3 linked regions of the Saccharomyces cerevisiae S288C genome follow. The gene in region 3 interacts genetically with the main gene of each other region. Each region holds a gene or a part of one and is shown on either strand. Other genes may lie near its edges.

The links.
Region 1: mutations in RIM20 (region 3) and FET3 together harm fitness more than expected from each alone (negative genetic interaction), as found in Saccharomyces cerevisiae (3 studies listed by BioGRID, with this or other methods).
Region 2: of RIM20 (region 3) and RIM101, extra expression of one rescues a mutant of the other (dosage rescue), as found in Saccharomyces cerevisiae (4 studies listed by BioGRID, with this or other methods).

What each region holds. Positions count from the first base shown.
Region 1 is NC_001145.3:386,072-391,155, reverse strand, and holds FET3 (ferroxidase FET3), read right to left. Parts: upstream 2,335-5,084; coding exon 424-2,334; downstream 1-423. Other genes in the region: SEN15 (Sen15p), read right to left, coding at 1-57; ADP/ATP carrier protein AAC1, read left to right, coding at 2,912-3,841; BUB2 (Bub2p), read left to right, coding at 4,135-5,055. UniProt on the Saccharomyces cerevisiae protein: Iron transport multicopper ferroxidase required for Fe(2+) ion high affinity uptake. Required to oxidize Fe(2+) to Fe(3+), which is then transported into the cell via the ferric iron permease FTR1. Essential component of copper-dependent iron transport.
Region 2 is NC_001140.6:49,184-53,125, reverse strand, and holds RIM101 (alkaline-responsive transcriptional regulator RIM101), read right to left. Parts: upstream 2,016-3,942; coding exon 138-2,015; downstream 1-137. Other genes in the region: WSC4 (Wsc4p), read right to left, coding at 2,546-3,942. UniProt on the Saccharomyces cerevisiae protein: Transcription factor that mediates regulation of both acid- and alkaline-expressed genes in response to ambient pH.
Region 3 is NC_001147.6:839,470-851,457, reverse strand, and holds the start of RIM20 (Rim20p), read left to right. Parts: upstream 1-10,388; coding exon 10,389-11,988. Other genes in the region: rRNA-processing protein RRP36, read left to right, coding at 1-521; thiosulfate sulfurtransferase RDL2, read right to left, coding at 729-1,178; thiosulfate sulfurtransferase RDL1, read right to left, coding at 1,404-1,823; HUA2 (Hua2p), read right to left, coding at 2,249-2,980; YOR283W (phosphoglycerate mutase), read right to left, coding at 3,313-4,005; PLP2 (Plp2p), read left to right, coding at 4,329-5,189; FSH3 (putative serine hydrolase), read left to right, coding at 5,666-6,466; RFM1 (Rfm1p), read left to right, coding at 6,828-7,760; uroporphyrinogen-III synthase HEM4, read right to left, coding at 7,814-8,641; CAF20 (Caf20p), read right to left, coding at 9,640-10,125. UniProt on the Saccharomyces cerevisiae protein: Required for the proteolytic cleavage of the transcriptional repressor RIM101 in response to alkaline ambient pH, which is necessary for sporulation and invasive growth.

The sequences.
Region 1 (5,084 bases), on a different chromosome or scaffold from region 3:
CATTTGGAAATAGAGTAAATTATTTTTTACTAGAGATATGATATCTGTCGTTGCCATTCTTATTTTCCTCAACCTCCTCGACGTAATTTCTCTTCGACAATTTATTATATCTTTCATATATTTCTGATGACTTTTTCATTTTCACTTTTTTTCAACCCATAACGGCTTTTTGTTCAAAAGAAACTGATCATGTCATCGATTAAAAGTAAAAGTATGCACATCAGCCTCGTGACAGATGAGGATCTCATGTCAAAAACCGCCAAGAAGCATGCATTATTGAATTTGAAACGTGGTAGATTATTAAGTATATGTCTATGTAATATTAAGTAAGACAAGGGCATTCACTTTACATGCAAATGCATTTGGAACCCTTGACCGAAAAAAAAAAAACAGGTTAACCGCAAAATACATGATCTTCCTTTATTAGAAGAACCGTTTGGCTTTAGTTAAAAATTGATGCTTTTCAGTGGAATGACGATCTTCGTTTACCTGACGCTCTTCATTTTCATCAACCTCATTTAGCAAGACTTCAGGGTCCACGTGCAAGTCTCGAATAACCTTTTCGGTCGCATCTTCCATATCCATCATACCATAAATTGCAATTGTGATAATACCAAGAATACCGGCAAAGCAGGAGAATGTCATGGCAATAATACCTTTTTTGGTAAAACCGGTAGGAATGAAGGCATGCTGAACATTTTCACCAGTTAAATCAGTTAAATCCAGTGTATTGGCAGCGGCGTTACCTTCAGTGGCCACAGAGCAACTCTGGCAAACTTCTAAGTGGTTTTCACTGAGTTGTTGAGAATGAGCATCTTGGATACCAAAAGGATCCTCCACGAGAACAAGACCCAAACCTTGCAACAAATGCCATTCGATATGACAATGGAAGAACCAAACACCTGGGTTATCGGCTTTAAACCTGATGACGAAATTGGATTGTGGTCTAACGTATAAAGTATCTCTTCTCATTGGGTATTCTGGGAAGGCAGGGTGGTTGTCCGGATCGAAACTGTGAGGAACTTCACCTAGGGCATCATCATATGTACGATCTCTCTGGATGGTTTGGAAAGCGTGACCATGTAAATGGAAAGGATGGGTACCTGTGTCCTGGTTATTTAGCACAATCTCCACGATTTCATCCTTCTCTAGGATGAAAGTGTGCGTGTTTGAACCGTAGATTTCGGAGTTGTTTGCTTGATCACCTGAAGACAAAACGGTCATCAAAGTAGGAACTTTTGGTGCAGTATAGGTGATATTATTGAAGAAGGCGTAATTCACACCGTTTTTCAAGTTATCCATAACAACGTCAACGGTAATCACATGATCTGGCTCGCCATAGATGGCTTCTTTCTCGTACGGTTGCAAGTAGAAATCGTCCAAGAAGTTATCAATTGAATCCACGTAATTTTGTGTGGGCAGCGCAGCGGTTTTGTTGTAGACCATATAAGAGGTTGCATTCAGCTGTAAATCACTTGGAATGACATCCAACATGGTGTCATCAAATTTCTGCATGATGGCGAAATTTTTGTCCGTGTCGTTTTTAGTGTGAACCAGGACTGTATATCTCTGAGCGACAGTGATGTAAAGCATATCCGTTACGTTCTTCTCGGTAGTGATACCGTCGATTTCGACCACGGTCATTTCGTGGTCCTCGATCCAAAAGTACTGCGAAACGAACCCACCCACGTTGACAATTCTCAAAAGATACGTCGTATCGGGCTGGACTTCCCATGTCAGATTCATCGTGTTGTTAACAATCAAGTTCTGTGGGATGGGCTCAGCACCTGTCGGATTATAAACACTCATGAACGACTTCGTCAAGTCCGTGACCAAGTCGTGGTACCACTCACTAAGCGATAAAGAAAGTTCCTCATCGTAATCGTAGGGGAAGCTATCATCCTTGATGATGAAAAGACCTTTCATCCCGTCTTCATATTGACCGTCCGTGTGTGAATGGTACCAGTAGGTGCCTACATTGTAGTCCACCGTGAAATTGTAAAGCATAGTACTGCCTGGCGCAATTGGACATTGCGTCAAGAAGGGCACACCGTCCATAGAGGCGGTTCCGTTTTGGAAGAGACCGTGGAAATGCATAGAAGTATTGGTGTTGTTCATTCCGTTGGTCAAGTAAATCTGCACACGGTCACCTTTGTTGACCGTTATATCTGGCCATGGGAACTGGCCATTACAGGTGATCACGGGACGGCTCTTTAGCCCATCAACGTTCCTGTAGTCCCAGCCAGTGGTCCAATTAAACGTGTGCGTCTCCGCTTGTGCTAGCGAGAGCATCGAGAAAAGCAAAACGGCTATAGAGAGCAAAGCGTTAGTCATCTAGTTCTAATTTTTTGCTACTCTTCCTTACACTGGGGTCCTCTTCGTTTCCTATGCCTATCCATCGCTTATAGAACAAGAGCTATAGGGCATGGCCTGCTTACATACATATATATATATATATATATATATATATAATCGCACTACATGCACGAGGCCTTGGCATACTCCCTCGAAGGATCGACTGTTTGAGTGCATCCTTCATTTTCTGTCGCAATTGGCGAGAATAAGAGCACCTGCAAATGGGTGCACTTTTGAAGATGGGCCTTGCCTGTTGGGCCTGCCTAAGTCAGCCTCGCCTAGCTCTAGGCGGAGGGTCTTTATCGGCGACTCAGCGTACTGTAGGGACCACCCCAGGCGCAACGGGCTGATTCGCACCCGGAAAGTAAAGCTTATTTCTGTCGGACGGAGAGTGTCCTTTTTCTCTCGCAGAAGACCATTTATTGGTCCTGAAACGGTATGAACATGTTATTATTCCTGTAACCGTGAAATAGGCAAGCCAAGGCATTATCGCAAAGAAGGCAGCACAGATTCTCGTATCTGTTATTCTTTTCTATTTTTCCTTTTTACAGCAGTAATGTCTCACACAGAAACACAGACTCAGCAGTCACACTTCGGTGTGGACTTCCTTATGGGCGGCGTTTCTGCTGCCATTGCGAAGACGGGTGCCGCTCCCATTGAACGGGTGAAACTGTTGATGCAGAATCAAGAAGAGATGCTTAAACAGGGCTCGTTGGATACACGGTACAAGGGAATTTTAGATTGCTTCAAGAGGACTGCGACTCATGAAGGTATTGTGTCGTTCTGGAGGGGTAACACCGCCAATGTTCTCCGGTATTTCCCCACGCAGGCGCTGAATTTTGCCTTCAAAGACAAAATTAAGTCGTTGTTGAGTTACGACAGAGAGCGCGATGGGTATGCCAAGTGGTTTGCTGGAAATCTTTTCTCTGGTGGAGCGGCTGGTGGTTTGTCGCTTCTATTTGTATATTCCTTGGACTACGCAAGGACGCGGCTTGCAGCGGATGCTAGGGGTTCTAAGTCAACCTCGCAAAGACAGTTTAATGGATTGCTAGACGTGTATAAGAAGACACTGAAAACGGACGGGTTGTTGGGTCTGTACCGTGGGTTTGTGCCCTCAGTTCTGGGTATCATTGTCTACAGAGGTCTGTACTTTGGCTTGTACGATTCTTTCAAGCCTGTGCTGTTGACGGGGGCTCTAGAGGGGTCCTTTGTTGCCTCTTTCCTATTAGGTTGGGTCATTACCATGGGTGCTTCCACTGCGTCGTATCCCTTGGATACGGTAAGAAGAAGGATGATGATGACTTCGGGCCAGACCATCAAGTACGACGGTGCTCTGGACTGTTTGAGAAAGATTGTTCAGAAAGAGGGCGCGTATTCCTTGTTCAAGGGCTGTGGTGCCAACATATTTAGAGGAGTCGCTGCAGCTGGTGTCATCTCATTGTACGATCAGTTGCAACTCATAATGTTTGGCAAAAAATTCAAGTGAAAAAAAAAGAAAACAACAAACGAATAAAATCTAAAAATTCTACATATTCTTGCTATTTATTTACATATTCATTCTTGCTACATACCTGTCTTATGCTATAATGACACTGGAGGTCTTCTTTCTTCTTTGAATTTATGTCCTGACAATTCAGTAAACGCCGTGCGGAAGGGAACCGTTTACGTACGCCAAGCTAAACATTGAAAAAAAAAAAAAAAAAAATGATAATAATAGTAATAATAGTAACGACGTAAAGGTAAAAGAAACAACAGACTTTTAAACTTGTTAACTTTTGCATGACCTCAATTGAAGATCTGATATCAAATCCTCCCCTGCTACTGCATTCCTCACTCTCTCAACTTCGCTACCTCATACTCAGTGAAGGGCTTCCCATATCTGAAGATAAACAGCAGCAGCGCACGCGATGTTACGTGTGGACGGTGCTCTCTCAAACTTCTATGGAGGCGTCTACACAACGGTACCTTGCGCTCTTGAAACTGGGCCCACCTTCCACAACCATTTACCAAAAAATCAAGAACGACACATCCAGAACTTTTCAGACGGATCCAAACTTTAGAAATAGAGTCTCAGAGGATGCCCTCATCCGGTGTCTGTCGTGCTTTGCTTGGCAAACACAACAAAGAAGACAAAAGACTCGTTTTGGTCGCATTCCTGTGAGCACATATGTGCAGGGCATGAACGTGTTATTAGCTCCTCTGCTTTACTCATGTCCTTCTGAACCTATGGCGTATCAACTTTTCACTAAGCTTTGTTATGAAATGATACCGACGTATCTAACTAAGAACCTAAACGGCGCCCAGAACGGCGCCAAACTACTAGATATTTCTCTCAGAATCATTGATCCAAAGCTGAGTAAATTTCTATCGGACAATTTACTTACAGCAGAGATTTATGGTATGCCTTCCATACTCACGTTATCCAGCTGCAATAAACCGCTTGATCAGGTCATTAAACTGTGGGATTTCATGTTTGCATATGGATTCCATATGAATATTCTCTTTGTGGTGGCATTCCTAGTTAAAATGAGATCCAAGGTTTTCAAATCGGATTCCCCTGTTAATTTACTACGACAGTTTCCGGATTTTGATGCTGACGAGATCATTCGGCTGGGCGTCGGGTTCATCGCTAAGATCCCTGCTCAAATTTATGACCTATTGGTAGACCACTTGACCGACCCAGACATATATATACCGTAAACTATGTGAAGAAATATTATATTTTATCG
Region 2 (3,942 bases), on a different chromosome or scaffold from region 3:
CACCTTAACAAATAATTTTTCCTTTAACCATTGTTACCTTGTTTAATCCGCGACGCCGCGCTAGGGCATGTGTGATTTATTCATTTACTATACAGCCGCAAAGAAACAACTAAGAATAAAATATCCGACAATCCATATCATACCAAAATTTTGGGATACTTGGTCAAGATGCGAACTGAGTTAGTTCCCATTTGGTTTTGTAAACTCAATTTTTCTAAAGATTCTTGCAAGAATGCGTTTTCTTCATCTTTGTCCTCACTTTCTTCATCATCTAAATCTTCCATGACACAGCACAACAAGTAGTCCTTGATAATGTTCACTATACCCAACATCTCTACGAAATCATCCTCTATCTCGCTTTCGTCATCTACTTCTTCAATCGCCAGCTTACTCATGATAATATCATTAGTACAGCTTTTTTGGTTCAGGCTAAATTCCCAGTTAGGCTTCAATGAAGTTCCACCTGCCATTGTACGGCGCGATGGTAACATTGGTATCTTTGATTGTAGAGGCGGTAATATAGAACAGCCACTGGAGGAATAGCTAGGCGCAGCACGAACAGATGGATAGTGTGGCATAGCATACTGTGATTGGCGGTTGAAAACACCACCGGCAGTGTTCGAATGTAAAGGTGGCAAATGTTCAGTAAGCGAAGGACCAGTTGGATACTTGGCCAACCGTACTGGCACATAAGTTGCTGTATTTGCAGTGGCCGAAATAGAGCTACCACCTTGTACGGATTGGTATGAAGGAGCATTAGGTGGCTGCACATAGCTTGTTTGTGCTACGGGGATGCGCCCAGATGATGACGAGGACTCAGTACTACCACCGCTTTGTTGCAAAATGTAGTTATTTGTCATATTTCTCGATAGTTTGGTGAAGAATTGGGTGGCGTTTGCTATGGTCTTATTAGAACAACCGTCCTCGTAGACATTCATGCTCCGACTGTTGGCACCTTGGCTTACCGTGCTGCCGTTATTGTAGTATAATGGCGGCAAGATCGTTTGCAATCTGGCACTCAATTGTGGAGAATATACCGGCTTATACTGAGATAGCTCGTCTGAGCATAGTTGGTTTAAGGAAATAGCCCGCTGCTGCTGTTGTGAAGGCAGATGTTGAGATATACCCACGGGCAATGGGGGTAATATCTGTGGAGAAGTAGAATGTGACTTAAAGCTACCAGCTATAGCGGAAGGCACAGATGCAGAACAAGACGACACTGCGTCGCTTGCACAACTTTTGTTTTTCTTAGAAGTTCTTTTTGAGCCCCATTTGGGTCCCCTCTTTCTTTTCAAAATACCGCCACTTTCCAGATGAATTTTCAAATGCTTTTTTAAATCTTGCGGACGTTTAAACTTTTTGGAGCACGTAGAGCAACCGAACGGTTTCAATGGTACGTGAACTCTCAAATGCGAGGTGATATGGTCCCTTTTCTCCGTCTTCGTGGTACAGTCTCCCCAATGACAATTCAATTGTAGGTTCTTATGTGACTTCCTGCCAACATGGTCATGACACAGATGATTATATAGCAGCTCTGGTTGGTTGAAAATCATACCACAGTTGTCCCATTTACAATATAGTGTTATATCCTCAGAATCACCGTCATTATCCGCATCGTCGTCATCACCTGCCGGGTTATGCGCTTGTGCCAATGGCGAGGAGGAGGACGAGTCAGAGGAAGATGATGTGGTGGGTGAAACTGCCGAAGCGCCCAATAGATCGTATGGAGGAGTGTTCAAGTGTGAAGTACTATGATATGGTAAGCATGATGAAGAAGTGCTGCCTGGTGACATCCGTTCATCTTCTTGACCGTTCAAGCCAATAGCTTCCGTGGTACACCTAATTCTAGGCCTCTTCGAACAATCAGAAGACCTTTTAGATAGGTTAGGACTGGGCAGCCCGTCCTTCTTTGTGACGTTAGAAACGTCTGTCCCATTTTCTACTATACTCTCCCGGCTGTGTTGAGGTGCGGCAGTGCCATTTTCTTTATTAAGCAGATCTTCCAATGGCACCATCTTAAGTCAATTTAAACAAACCTACTTTACCGTTTTCAGTATTTTATCTTTGCACTTGTTCAAAAAGTGTTGTGCAATAGCAATATTACTTTCTCAGTGGAAGTGATAACAGACCAATAAAAAAAAAAAAGGTTATAGACGGTGACTCTTATGAAAACATTTAGTTCCTTTCTATATTATTGAGTCTTAATTTTTTATCTTTTGTCTCGTAGATTGGCATCCCTCACCCGTCTGAAATGATTTTATAAGCCTCCGTCATCTCGGACGTAATTTTAGAAACTCCGAGCTGGACGGCTATTTTATTTTCTGCGCCGTAATCTGTGAATCACAGAGAATGTCTCGCACGAACGCGGTATTTAGATTATTGTGCCTGCTGTCACTGGGCAGAGAAAAGTATGTACAAGATAACAGCGTTATTGTCGTAAAGCATTCTTTTGAGAACATTCGAAGGAAAAAAACAAAGTTCAGAATTAAAATTATGTATGTATTATCGTTCGTGGAATATTTATTACGTATAAGAGCTGCAGTCTTTATTCGTTCATTAGCCGCAGAACCCTCCTGGAGTAGTCTACGTTGTCTGATAACGAAATGGTAGAGTGGTTTGTGGCATCGTCATTTGCTAAAGTGTTAAGCATCTTACTTGGGTCTAGCCTCTGATCCACCAGTACCGTGTCTTCACCTAGAGTAACGTTTGATTCCATTTTTTCGTGTTGCTTTTGAATGGGCGAATGAAGAAAAGTAGAAGTTCTTCTGGGAAGAATGGGATCGTGAAATGGGCTTGCCAACGTGCTTGGGTCATTTGGTGGACTGCCTGCAGTCAAGGAATACGTAGATTGACGTGGGGATGGTGATTCAGACATAATTTGTCCCTTTTCATCAGTGTATATTAATCTTGGGGTCGAGAAAGTTGAATTTGAAGATGGTGAAGGCGTGTGTAACGTGGTAGTGGTAACTTCATTTGGGTACTTGGACTGGTAAAACTTACTCTGATATTCATTCTCAAAATCTTGAGCCTTCCGAGCGGGTCTTGTTCTATAATGATGTATTAAGTATATTAGTATGCATATAATTACCAAACATACCACTCCAACCACGACGAAAGTAGCGGCTATTTTCCCGGGCGAATCCCAGTACCCTTTCTTTTCTGTAGACTTGTTAGTTGGTGTATTGCTGTTGGTGGTGTTACTATTGTTATTGTTTGTTATTCTACCACCTACGCTGGCAGACGTAGTAGCCACTGCAGAAGTAGGAGTAGCCCCGAGGGTGGAAGAGTAAATCTGCGTTATTACTTTTTTCATGGTGAGATATCTCGAGGTGATTTCCGAAATGTTAGTGTCCATGGTGTGCACTGAAGTCACTGTTATCACAGAATACTTTAAGGAGGTCTGCAGGTTTACAGAAGTTATAGTGGACGTTATTGGAGATGCTGTGGTACTGGTGTAAGTAACCGTAGTGCTTGAAGGGGCTGTACTGGGTGATGTCGTAGTGAACGTTGTGCTCGTTGGTGTTGTATTAGACGAGCTTGTAGGTGCTGAAGAAGAAGTTGGCGATGTTGTACTTGTTGAAGTGGAAGTTGACGACGTCGTGCTTGTAGAAATGGGGGCTGACGATGTTGTGGTTGGAGTTGATGATGATGATGATGATGTGCTCGTGGAAATGAGGGTTGACGACGTAGTACTTGTGGTGGTAGATGTTGATGATGTGACACTTACGGTCGTAGAAGTCGACGATGAGGTACTTGTGGTGGTAGAGGTTGACGATGTCGTGCTTGTGGGAATGGATGTTGACAACTTTGTGCTTGTAGTCGTGGGCAGTGCCGATGTTATATCAGTTGATGGTGTTGTACTGGTTGAGGCGGTTGTCAATGGGGTCGTACTCGTTGACGTCAGAGTCGGCGAGATTGTGGTTGTGTCCACAATACTCGTAC
Region 3 (11,988 bases):
AACAATCATCCAAGAAAAGGGTACCACGAGTCCGAAATATCCCTGGGCTGGAAATACCGAGGAATAAAAGGTCTAACCTCTATCAGGACATCAGATTTGATAAGTCCACCGGTAAAGCCCTTGATAGTTCTATCATAAGAAAACGTTACCAGTTCTTGGACGAATATAGAGAAAAAGAAATTGATGAACTGCAGAAGCTGTTACAAGAAAGAAAATTTCTATCAAAAATAGACCAGGGAGAACGTGAAGAAATGGAACAAAGACTGAAAAGTATGAAATCGAGATTGCAATCAATGAAAAACAAAGATCTCGAGCGTGAAATTCTCAAGGAATACGAAAATGATATGAATAAAAACAATAATACGAGATACCATTTGAAAAAGTCTGAGAAACGTAAAGTGGTGCAAAAGTGGAAATTTGATCACATGAAGGCCAAGCAACGTGAAAAGGTCATGGAAAGGAAAAGGAAGAAGAGATTGGGTAAAGAGTTTAAACAATTTGAATTTCATAATCGTAGGTAGAGTATTTAAGCAAAAGAATGCACATTAAAGTAATATATAGAGAAAGATAAAAAAATAAACGCACACATAAACTAATGGAAGTAAGAGGTTATCCGCGAACCACAAGGAGAAAATCGAATGAATCGGAGAGGTGACAACAAAAAATTTGAAATACACAAAAGGTTGTCTATATACAGGATATATCGATTATACTTGTTTCTTTTTGGCTTATTTTTTGGGCTTAACGTCAGCACCACCTTTAGCTAACCACTCAGTAATAGAACCAGGATAGATACCAGTGTTTTCGTACCCATAAGATCGAGCCAACTCTTCGGCAGTTTTGGCTCTTACTCCTTTCGCACAAAGAAAAATCAATTCTTTATCGTGAGGTGGTTTAGCAAATTGGAAAACTTTGTGAAACTCCTTTTCGGGCAATCCAAGAGCGCCAGGGGCACTATTCACCGGAATATTTATTGTAGTTGGCATCTTGTAATCCTTTACTTCCTTGGGTTCCCTTACATCTACCAATAGTTTTTTATCATTGGGGTGTTCGACTAGGTTCCTGACCTGGTCAAAAGTATAGATCTTTGGAGCCTTCGTTGTAAATGTTCTCAGGACCAATGTAGGCGATCTTGCAGAAACTGTCCTCGAGAGAATACCTGTACTATGCTTGAACATCGTTGGTCTTTTTCTTCTGTCTCGCTTCCATTTGTTGAGAGTTATCGCTATCTTATTCCATTCAGATTAAGTTTTGTATTTTTTTTTTTATACTTCCTAATTTCTTTGCGCCGCCGCTATCACAGCCAATGCAATAGGCAAATATTATGAACGGTGTGACATAAATGGCATAATACGTTACTAGCTTACGAAAATACACAGGGTACATACCTAGAGTATACAAGGCTATAAGTCAAGTTTATCACCCCCATGAGAAACCCAATCATTCATAGAGCCAGGATATAGTGAGGTGTTTGAATATCCATGTGAGGAGGCGACTTTTTGAGCTTCTCCCCCGCGTTTGCCAGAAGCACAATAAAATATTAGCTCCTTGGCACTGTCAGGTTTTGGGATGCCAATCTGTTTCTCAAATTCTAAAGGATCTAAGGCAAATGCGTCAGGGTGCGATCTATATGGCACATTGATGGAAGCAGGAATATGAACAATCGAGTACTCAGATGGTTCTCTAACATCTACCAAAACCACATTAGGATCATGCTTTCCAACGATTCTTTTCATGTCTTCAAAACTGTAAGATTGAATATTTGAAACATTCTTACTTTGACTCTCGGTTCCATTCCAAGCATTCATCACGGCCTTCCACATTTTAATATCGTTTCTTAGTCACAAACCCTGAAAATAAACGAGAAAGAATTCTTTGATTGATTAAGCCTCCACTCTCTTTTATACACCTCAAAAATTCTCCCCTTACTTCCTTCCCCGCGGGTAATAATATTCTCCAAAAAAAATACAAAAGCAATCAGATGTAACTTATATAGGTTCCAAGATAAATAACAAATTATTTGTCATTGCAAGTAGGAAAAGGACATACCGTAGGTGATATCTGGATTTGGGCCTTATGGAAGCCAATCTTAGTAGTAATTCGTCCATATGTCTACCAAAGGGGATAACAAAAAAGTACAACTACAAATTTTTCACACAGTGTCCCGTTAATTTCATATACTCAATATGCTGCGTTTAATCAAGAAAAATTCTGATATTTTGCGACAGAAGGTGTCCCTGGAAAGCGCTTAGTATGCTGTATGATCTTTGAAGTACAATGCACAGGGAAATAAATCACCATATCTGACGATCATCTTGCTAGTTTCTAAGTTCGGAACATCTTGTCTATGCGCCAATAAAACTAGTTTTACATCGTACAGAAACACTGTCCACTTAGAACTGGACACTTGTTTGCCCAGTATAGTTCTGATACTATTATTATGTATAATTCCCTCAATATTAAGCACTTTATGCAAACGTGTTGGCCCATTGAGGCATTGATATACGGCAAGTAATAGCACCTTTTGCTTCTTACCTTTATCAATTTGGAAATAATGTTCGAATTCTATTTTATTTTGCAGAATCCTTAGTATATTTTCTTCGTCGAACTTTTGTACACTATTTAGCTGAAACTTCATAAGCTTTCCGCTCAAATTAACCTTTGCATTTGTTGATGTCTGGCTATTCATTGGGGATGGGACCGGCTGGTGAGTGGACCTCTTACATTGTAATGATTTGTTCCTTTTCTGTAAAAGTTGTAGAAACGCGTCGTAGTACTTCTGCAAGTCGGCAAGAATGGGTTCAATCTGCTGAACGTCCAAACTAAAATCCTCCAAAAGATGTCGCATTTGATTTTCAATCATTGACAATCTCTTTTTATAGCCCAATGTAATACGATCGGCTTCGACAATTTCATCTTCTGAGTACTCAACTACCGAATCGTGGTCCAAATACATCTTGCCAAATTTTGTTTGTTGCATAGTTTCACTGATATACAATTCACCTGAATTTACCACCGACAGAACATATCCATTTCTCTGCTATGGAGTATCAATGTAGTCTTGTTACATATTACGACACAGTTTTCTTTCCTTTAAAATAAACGCGTCGTTCTCATCTCATGTGAAAAACTATATCAATAATATAAAAACATAAAACCCCTATAATTTATGAACATCTACTGCATTTAGATAAACCCTTACGAACTATATGTTTTAAAATAAAATACACGCATGCGAAATTTCTATTACTACCTAAACCGCATTTCTAATACAAAATGAGAAAAACCCAACAGTGAATAACCATATAGTGTCTAACGTAATCTTAAGTCACTGACGACAAATTCGCCATCACCAAGATGTTGGGTGTTTCCGACACGTCTCACAATAAACTGCTTGGAGTCCTTGACGTAATCAACTATAGTGACAGAGGTGTTGAAAACAATGATCTTATGAGCTTGATGATTTTCATACTTTAACCATTGTAAAATCATTCTGATAGCACCTCCATGACTAACTAGGGCTAGATTCTTGACACCTTCATTAGATGCTTCAGCAACTTCTTCTTCGACACATCCAGTTAACCTAGCAACAAAATCGTCACTTTTTTCCCCAAAATTTCTAAAGGAGCCTTCACCATGTTTATCAGCATACTTTTCAGCCTCAGTAATCTGCATACCTTCAATAACACCCATATAACGCTCCCTTAACCCCGAAGTATAGGAAGTAGGCACATTTTCTTGTTTTGAATGTTTCAAAACTAAAGCCGTAGTTTGCCTACACCTTTTTAAATCACTACTGACAACCTTATCAAAATGAATACCTCTTGAACGCAAGTAATGCCCCAATTTAGTGGCTTGTTCTTCTCCCGTAGGATTGATCGAGGTATCTTTGTGACCTTGCAAAATTTTTTTTACATTGTGTTCTGTTTGTCCATGCCTAATAATGAATAATCTGATGATGTTGTTATCGTCATTATCGCAATAATATGGTACTTCCTTAGTCATTCTTGGGTATAAATATATTTTTGGGTGCTTGTATAGCTTCGAGCTTCGTTGCCGCTTTGATCTTACAGTATGAGACTAATTCGAACCAGAATGAATAAAGCAATACTTTATGTTCTACAATTCAAAAAAGAATTAAGTAATATTGTGACGACCTGATTTTCCCATTGTATTAATATCGCTGGAAAAAAAATTACTGAAAAAAGAGGAAATCCCGCTAGAGGAAAAAAAGAAAAGGTTATATGATCGACCTGAAGAAATCTGCAGTACAAGATAACGCCTTCGAGTAAACATCACTGAGAAGAAAGGCATATTCAGCAGACATAATGCAGAATGAACCAATGTTTCAGGTCCAGGTGGACGAATCTGAAGACAGTGAATGGAACGATATTTTAAGAGCGAAGGGTGTAATACCAGAACGTGCACCTTCGCCCACTGCAAAGTTAGAAGAAGCATTAGAAGAAGCAATTGCCAAGCAGCATGAAAATAGACTAGAAGATAAAGACTTGTCGGATTTGGAAGAACTAGAAGACGATGAAGATGAAGATTTCTTGGAAGCTTACAAGATCAAAAGATTAAATGAAATCCGCAAATTACAGGAACGTTCCAAATTTGGAGAAGTTTTCCACATTAACAAACCTGAATACAACAAAGAGGTTACTTTGGCCAGTCAGGGAAAGAAATATGAAGGTGCACAAACCAATGACAATGGTGAAGAGGATGACGGTGGTGTCTACGTATTCGTTCATCTCTCGCTTCAAAGTAAACTACAAAGCAGAATTCTGTCTCATCTTTTCCAATCTGCTGCATGCAAATTCAGAGAAATAAAATTTGTAGAAATACCTGCCAATAGAGCAATTGAAAACTATCCCGAATCCAATTGCCCGACATTAATTGTATATTACCGGGGTGAGGTAATCAAAAACATGATAACGCTACTAGAACTGGGTGGTAATAATTCCAAGATGGAAGACTTTGAAGATTTTATGGTAAAAGTTGGCGCTGTTGCAGAAGGAGACAACAGACTGATAATGAACCGAGACGATGAAGAATCCAGGGAAGAGAGAAAATTGCATTACGGTGAAAAAAAATCGATCAGGTCAGGTATTAGAGGAAAATTTAATGTCGGCATAGGTGGAAATGATGATGGCAACATTAATGATGATGATGATGGATTTTTTGACTAAATAGTGCGAATATTCCTTATTTACAGGCTAAGTGGTGTCACTATCCCCATTATTTAATATATACAGATATAAAGAACAGCAAACTTTGTCATGTACTTCTCTGAATGTTTACGCGAGGATTACGGTATGTATGATTGAACATCGCTGCAGCATGGATTTTAGTAAGAGCCGTTGTCATGGCAACCAATTAAAGCTCTTTAATTACCGTCAAGCATACTTAGGATACAGATACAATAAAACCCCTTATTAAGTTCGAGCAGGCACATCTTGACAGAATAAACCTTTTAAATCGTCATATGGAGCATGGTCTGGTATCAAGTTTTACTACTTTTTCGCTTTGTTGTCAGAGGATAGAAATTTACTTTTTCTAGTTGTGCGTATAAAGAACACTATGGATGCAGTAATACAGAAAGTAATCTGTTCTACTTCGGTGCATTTTCAAACTGAATTCTACCACAAACCCCAGAATTATTATTATGAGTGAAAAGAAGAAAGTTCTAATGCTACATGGTTTTGTCCAATCCGATAAGATATTTTCTGCGAAGACTGGAGGATTACGAAAGAATTTGAAGAAGTTAGGTTACGATTTATACTATCCTTGCGCCCCACATTCAATTGATAAAAAAGCGTTATTCCAATCAGAGTCAGAAAAGGGTAGAGATGCTGCGAAGGAATTCAACACCTCAGCGACTAGTGATGAAGTATACGGGTGGTTCTTTAGAAATCCCGAATCTTTCAATTCCTTTCAAATAGATCAAAAGGTGTTTAACTATTTACGTAACTACGTGCTAGAAAATGGACCATTTGATGGTGTCATTGGATTCAGCCAAGGTGCAGGTCTTGGGGGCTACTTAGTCACTGACTTTAACAGAATATTAAATCTTACTGATGAACAACAGCCCGCTTTAAAATTTTTTATTTCATTTAGTGGATTCAAATTAGAAGATCAATCCTACCAGAAAGAATATCATAGGATTATCCAGGTGCCCTCTCTACATGTAAGGGGGGAGTTAGATGAAGTTGTAGCAGAATCTAGAATCATGGCATTGTACGAGTCATGGCCCGATAACAAAAGGACATTGTTGGTTCATCCTGGAGCCCATTTTGTCCCAAACTCGAAACCATTCGTATCCCAAGTTTGCAATTGGATCCAAGGAATTACTAGCAAAGAGGGTCAAGAGCATAATGCCCAACCTGAAGTAGATCGGAAACAATTTGACAAACCTCAATTGGAAGATGATTTGTTAGATATGATCGATTCCTTGGGTAAATTGTAATTCGATAATTGATATTTATATGAGCTACATACAATTTTTATAAAACTATTGAAAATATCGACGAGAAAAAGGAATAGTGTGACTTTTCTGCCGCCTTCTTTGACGTTTGATTTTCTATACCTGATTTATATCTGTTGCTAAAGAAAGAATTTTCGCGGCACACGAATGATATATATTTAACGTAAGGATTTCTTTTATCTGGCGGAAGTATCTCAATATATTAATATTAAACGCTGTTGAACACTATCCTAGGAACACTGACAGCTAGAAGTGATCATAAGACATTGCATATAAAATAACTATTAATTTTAATTAAAAGAATTTAATTAGAACAACAGGAAGGTGTTATAAGAAAGTGCGAATGAGTACAAATACGGAAATCATAAAAAATAGTGATTTGCAAAGTTTAATCAATGATAAGAGGAGGTTAATAAATGAAATAAAAGACTTTAATAAATCCATTAAACCCTTGGAGTTTGAATCGTATCAGGATTATTTCCTGATAAAAACGTTCAAAAAAGGAATATCTGCAAGTGGCCATGTGGATATTGACAGTTTAAGAAATAAAGAATATGGAATATACTACAAGAAAATCAAGAGGAACTCTACACAAGAAGTCGGCGAACCAATCCCTCGCAACACATCCTCCTCCTCCTCTTCTACTAGATCAAACTCATCAGCTGATATCAGCGATACAGAATATTCAGGTGAGAACACTCCTACAACTACTGGTGCTGCCAGTCGAAGAAGACGTACGAGATCTCGAGCTATTCAAAGAGAAAATAGTCTACCAGCATCTTTACCCTCAATTAGTGAAGCGAATGCAAACAATGATGATGTTACTATTTCTGAAATAAATGGAAGTGAATTGCCATTTCCAATTCCAATATCAGAAGTGGAAAATATTGACATTGCTTCAGATATAACTGAAAGGGATGGTATTAGAAGGAGATCATCAAGGATATCAGAAAGAGACAAAAGACGTTCACAGTCTAGACTGGGGTCAGAAGAAGATGAAGAAGGCGACGGACATGACGGAGATGAAGGGGAGACCAAAATCCAAGACCTATATGAGAGTTTGGTACCCAAAATTTTGGAGTCACGTAGAAGGTCTGATTGGATCCTCCCTCCTAAGGCAAGATATACACCAGAAAAGCAAATGAGGACCAAACCGTCATTCAAGAGCATAAAGATTAATGAACTTGTCGGGAATAAAAGAATACGAAGTATATTATCTAGATTTGAAGGTGGTGTAGCGGGTATACGCAAAAGAGATTGGGACTCTACCCAATAGCTTCTTTGAAGAAGTAAATAAATATAAATAGAGAGAAATATGACGTATCAATATTATTTATGGCGCTGGTATAATTCAATAGCATCTAATAGCGACTTGGGGTCCGGTTTTGGACTGACCACATCAGAGGTTACATCATTATCATCCAGATATTTTTTAGTGGTAGGTCCGATGGACGCAACCCGTAGATGGGAACCTGGTAGGCGGTTACTGTCACCCAAATACTGAGTAATTTCTTTCGTTCCCTGGGGACTGAAAACTACCACCCAGTCCGAGAATACTTCATCCTCATCGCATTCTTTCATGGCGTGTATGAATCTTTTAAAACCGTCGCTTAATTCTTCAGTTTTATAAGTAACCACTTCTCTTACTTTTATTCCCTTGCTATGGAGTTTCTTTGGGATGATATCTCTTCTAATTTCACCCACGAGAAATAATAGTTCACTTGGTGGGCATGCCTTAATATCCGTACTCAAGTCATCAATAATTATATCAGCAAGGATTGAACCATTACCAGCGTCTTCTCCACCTTTAACATTAATGAAACCTGATCTTCTGATGAAGTTAGCAGTAGCAGGGCCTACAGTATAAACTGTTTTACTGAGCAATGCAGCTTTTTGTTCACTTGTCAATGTGGGAATGATCGCTTCATTCAATGACTCTACAGTCCTTTGAGAGGTAATAATAATGTAATTGATAGTATTCAAATAGTTTGGGATGGTATTCAAAACATTTCTAAAATCTTGAATTACATGTGTATGTTTAATAAGCGGTACGAATATGGGTTCAAACGCCTTACTCCTACACTCCAATTCATATTTATCAATGGGGACAGTTTTATTCTTGAGCAGTAATACTCTGACTTTTTTACGACTAGACATCTCTCGAGCAAGGTCTATTTTACCTTTCTGTTTCCTTATCCTTTGACACTAAAATTCAAAAAACTCACTAGAAAGTTCACTAAAGCGCCTTAGCTGACTACAGCACAACCCAACCCCAAAAACTAGTGAACTACACACTAAGAGAATTTATGGTATTTCCATAATTGAAGTATATGTACGATGTATACAATGTAAACAAGAGAGTAATGAAGTGAAGATATGTACACCTAGAGCGAACCAATGATAATTTGTTTTCTTAATTAAGAAAAACCATTAAAACTGGATTAGATTTCAATAATGAAAAGCTAGGAACAAAAAAAATTGGTCTACTTCCAGCCATTTGCGCTTTATATAGACATATGGAGGCGTGATGTCTTAAGCATGGTAATCCGGAAGATCAGTTTATTGAATGATGGTTTTCTTATCCTGAAGGATCCTGCAAATGAAGTAAGTTCAAAGAATTGAAATGAAATCGCCTTTTATACCCTCGCCGCACCAAGGAGCGCGCTGTGAAAATTTTTCGCTTTATCTCTTAGGGCTCCTACTGTCGGTAGAGAAAAGTTGAGTATATTTAAAGCATGAGGTAACTTTTCTGCCCATTTTTACTTCTATTTCCATTTGAATTCAGAAAAGTGAAGCAAAATTACACCATGAGTTCCTATTAACGTCAGCCTCTTTTGTACTCATAATGTGGCTTCGGATGTTTGATGGGCGTTGCTTCAGTGCGTACGGCTCATGGTAGATTAATTATTAGAAAGATGTATCTCCAGCTGTTGATATTAGAGGGGGAAGCCTTTCTCTTTCACCTCGCCTTTTTAAACACCTGATACAGTTGGTCATGATTCGTTCTACATTTTAATTTCTTTATGTAACCACGTTGTATATTTTCAATCTGGAAAGTAACCTAAAAGAGTAAAAACTGTTTATTAAAAAAAATGTTATTCAAAATTTATACATAGTACACGTACAGCTGCCTGAAGAAAGCATGAGCGAATGACTTATGCTTCGTCGTCTTCGTCTTCACTTTCCAAAGCAGCAAATGCGTTGAAACCAAGAATTGGCTTGTCCGCAACAATATCTCTGGTATCAGCAGGTCTGTTGGAAGAAATATTTTTGTTATTTGGCTTGACTTTTAAAGTTTCTTGGGCAATGGTAGCAACTGGCACAGTAGAAGTTGGTGTGGTTTCTGTTTCTTCTTCATCATCTTCTCCACTACCCTTCTTCTTGGCTTCAAATGTGCACCAACCATCTGAATCGGTTGTAACCTTAGGCTTGTTGTGCTTAATCTTTGGTCTACCATGATGGTGGGAAGATCTTCTACGACCGAAATGACCAACATGATGACTGTTAAACTCTTCCTCTTTCAAGTGTTGCAATTGCTTAACTTTTTCAATGATGGCTCTAAATTCCACCGCATCGAAATTAACTTCCAAAGTTAAACTTGGCTTCAGTTGAAAAAGCTCATCGATAGTATACTTGATCATGTCGTGAAATTAAATAAAAGTTCTTAATCCTATATTCAGGTTACAGCTCAAATAATGTCTATCGCAATCGGTAGAATATGCTTTACGCCAAATACTTTTTCCAATTTTTCACTATTTTTCGTCCAGGAAAAGAGATATTCAAGCCTCGCTACTACCCGGCTTTATAATATAGCATAAGAAAAGGGACTATAAAGCCTTATTAAAACACTACTATACCCTTGCAGAGAGAGTATTATTATCTATGGAGATCCAGGCAGTGTGACATGAGTGAACTGCTTGCCATTCCACTTAAGCGAACTTTAGAAGTGGACTTTGCCACGGAGTTGTCAAAACTAATTGATACTACTTCCTTTCAAACGGCATCCTTTTTCCAATCAGACATACTCAAAGTTGTTGATGCAAGAAACAATGCGATTGCACCCGATATCTCAATCGACGGTCTTTCTGCACTGAAGGAATACTATGTAATATTGTTGCAATTAGAGAAAAAGTTTCCCAATAATCAAATAGAATTTACATGGTTTCAAACGCTATCACAAAAATCTCGTGGTACTAGTCAATACTCATTACAATGGGAAAAATTAACCATTATTTATAATATTGGTTGCATGTATTCACTGTTGGCTCTAAATAGCAACAATGATGCAGCCGAATCCCTCAAAACGTCATGTCTGTACTTCCAGAATGCCGCCGGATGCTTTAAACATGTTTTAGACCACCAAAAAAATCTTGAGACAATCCCAGTGGTAGATGACGCCACATTGAACGCTTTAACCTCCCTGATGCTAGCACAAGCGCAAGAATGCTTCTGGTTTAAAGCCGTGCAAGATAAACACAAGGACTCCTTAATCGCGAAGTTGTCACAACAGATCGTGGACTTCTACTGCGAGGCTATTAATGACGCCCAAAGGGGGAAACTTATTAGAAGTGATTGGATAAACCACTTAAAGGCTAAAAAGGCTTACTTTAGTGCGGTGACTTATTACAGAATAGCCTTATCTTTTAATGAGAAGAAGCAGTTCGGAAATGTTGTGAAAGCTCTGCAAATGGGATTGCAATTTATAAATGAATCAACACTATCTTCGCAAGCTAAGTTTAAAACTGTTGTCGAATCTTCTCTGAAAGAAGCCCAAAGAGACAATGAATTCATCTACTTACAAGAAGTTCCTTCGGAATTACCATCGATCAAACCAGCTCTCATGGTTAAACCATCTTCTTCAGCAACATTGTTGCCTTCTATTAAAAAGGATGAGACTTTATTCAAAGACCTAATCCCTATAGAAGTGATGGAATATTGCACAGCATACAATGAAAGGCAAGATGAATACGTTGAACAACGTGTTACCAATCCCCTTGCTTCCCTAAATAAACTATTGAAGGAGTCCTTGACTACTTTCCAAATACCACAAGGGCTTACAAAGGTGAGTGAAGCAGAACTGAGTCATTACCAGGCATCACTGAATAATCTTCTCATTAATAATAAAAATGTGCAGGTACAACTCGATAACATTGAGCAAATTTTAAATGAAGAAGCATTTACTGACAATCAGCTCCGACTAAAACACGGAACCTTAAATTGGACTTTACCCGAATCTTCAACTACTAACACAGCATATTATGAAAAACTAAAAAAGCTGAGAGGATACCTTGATGAAGGTAGTGCGATTGACAAACAAACAAATGAACTATTTCAAAGCATCGATAAAAATTTGATTGGATCAGAGATCAGGTTACCGGAATCTAATGATCCTCTAACGAATAAGATTAAGATGATCATACAGGAAAGAAATGATTATATTGATAGGACGAGGCGGAAATCTTCAGAATATAGAATACTTCCAAAGATCATTACATCGTATAAAA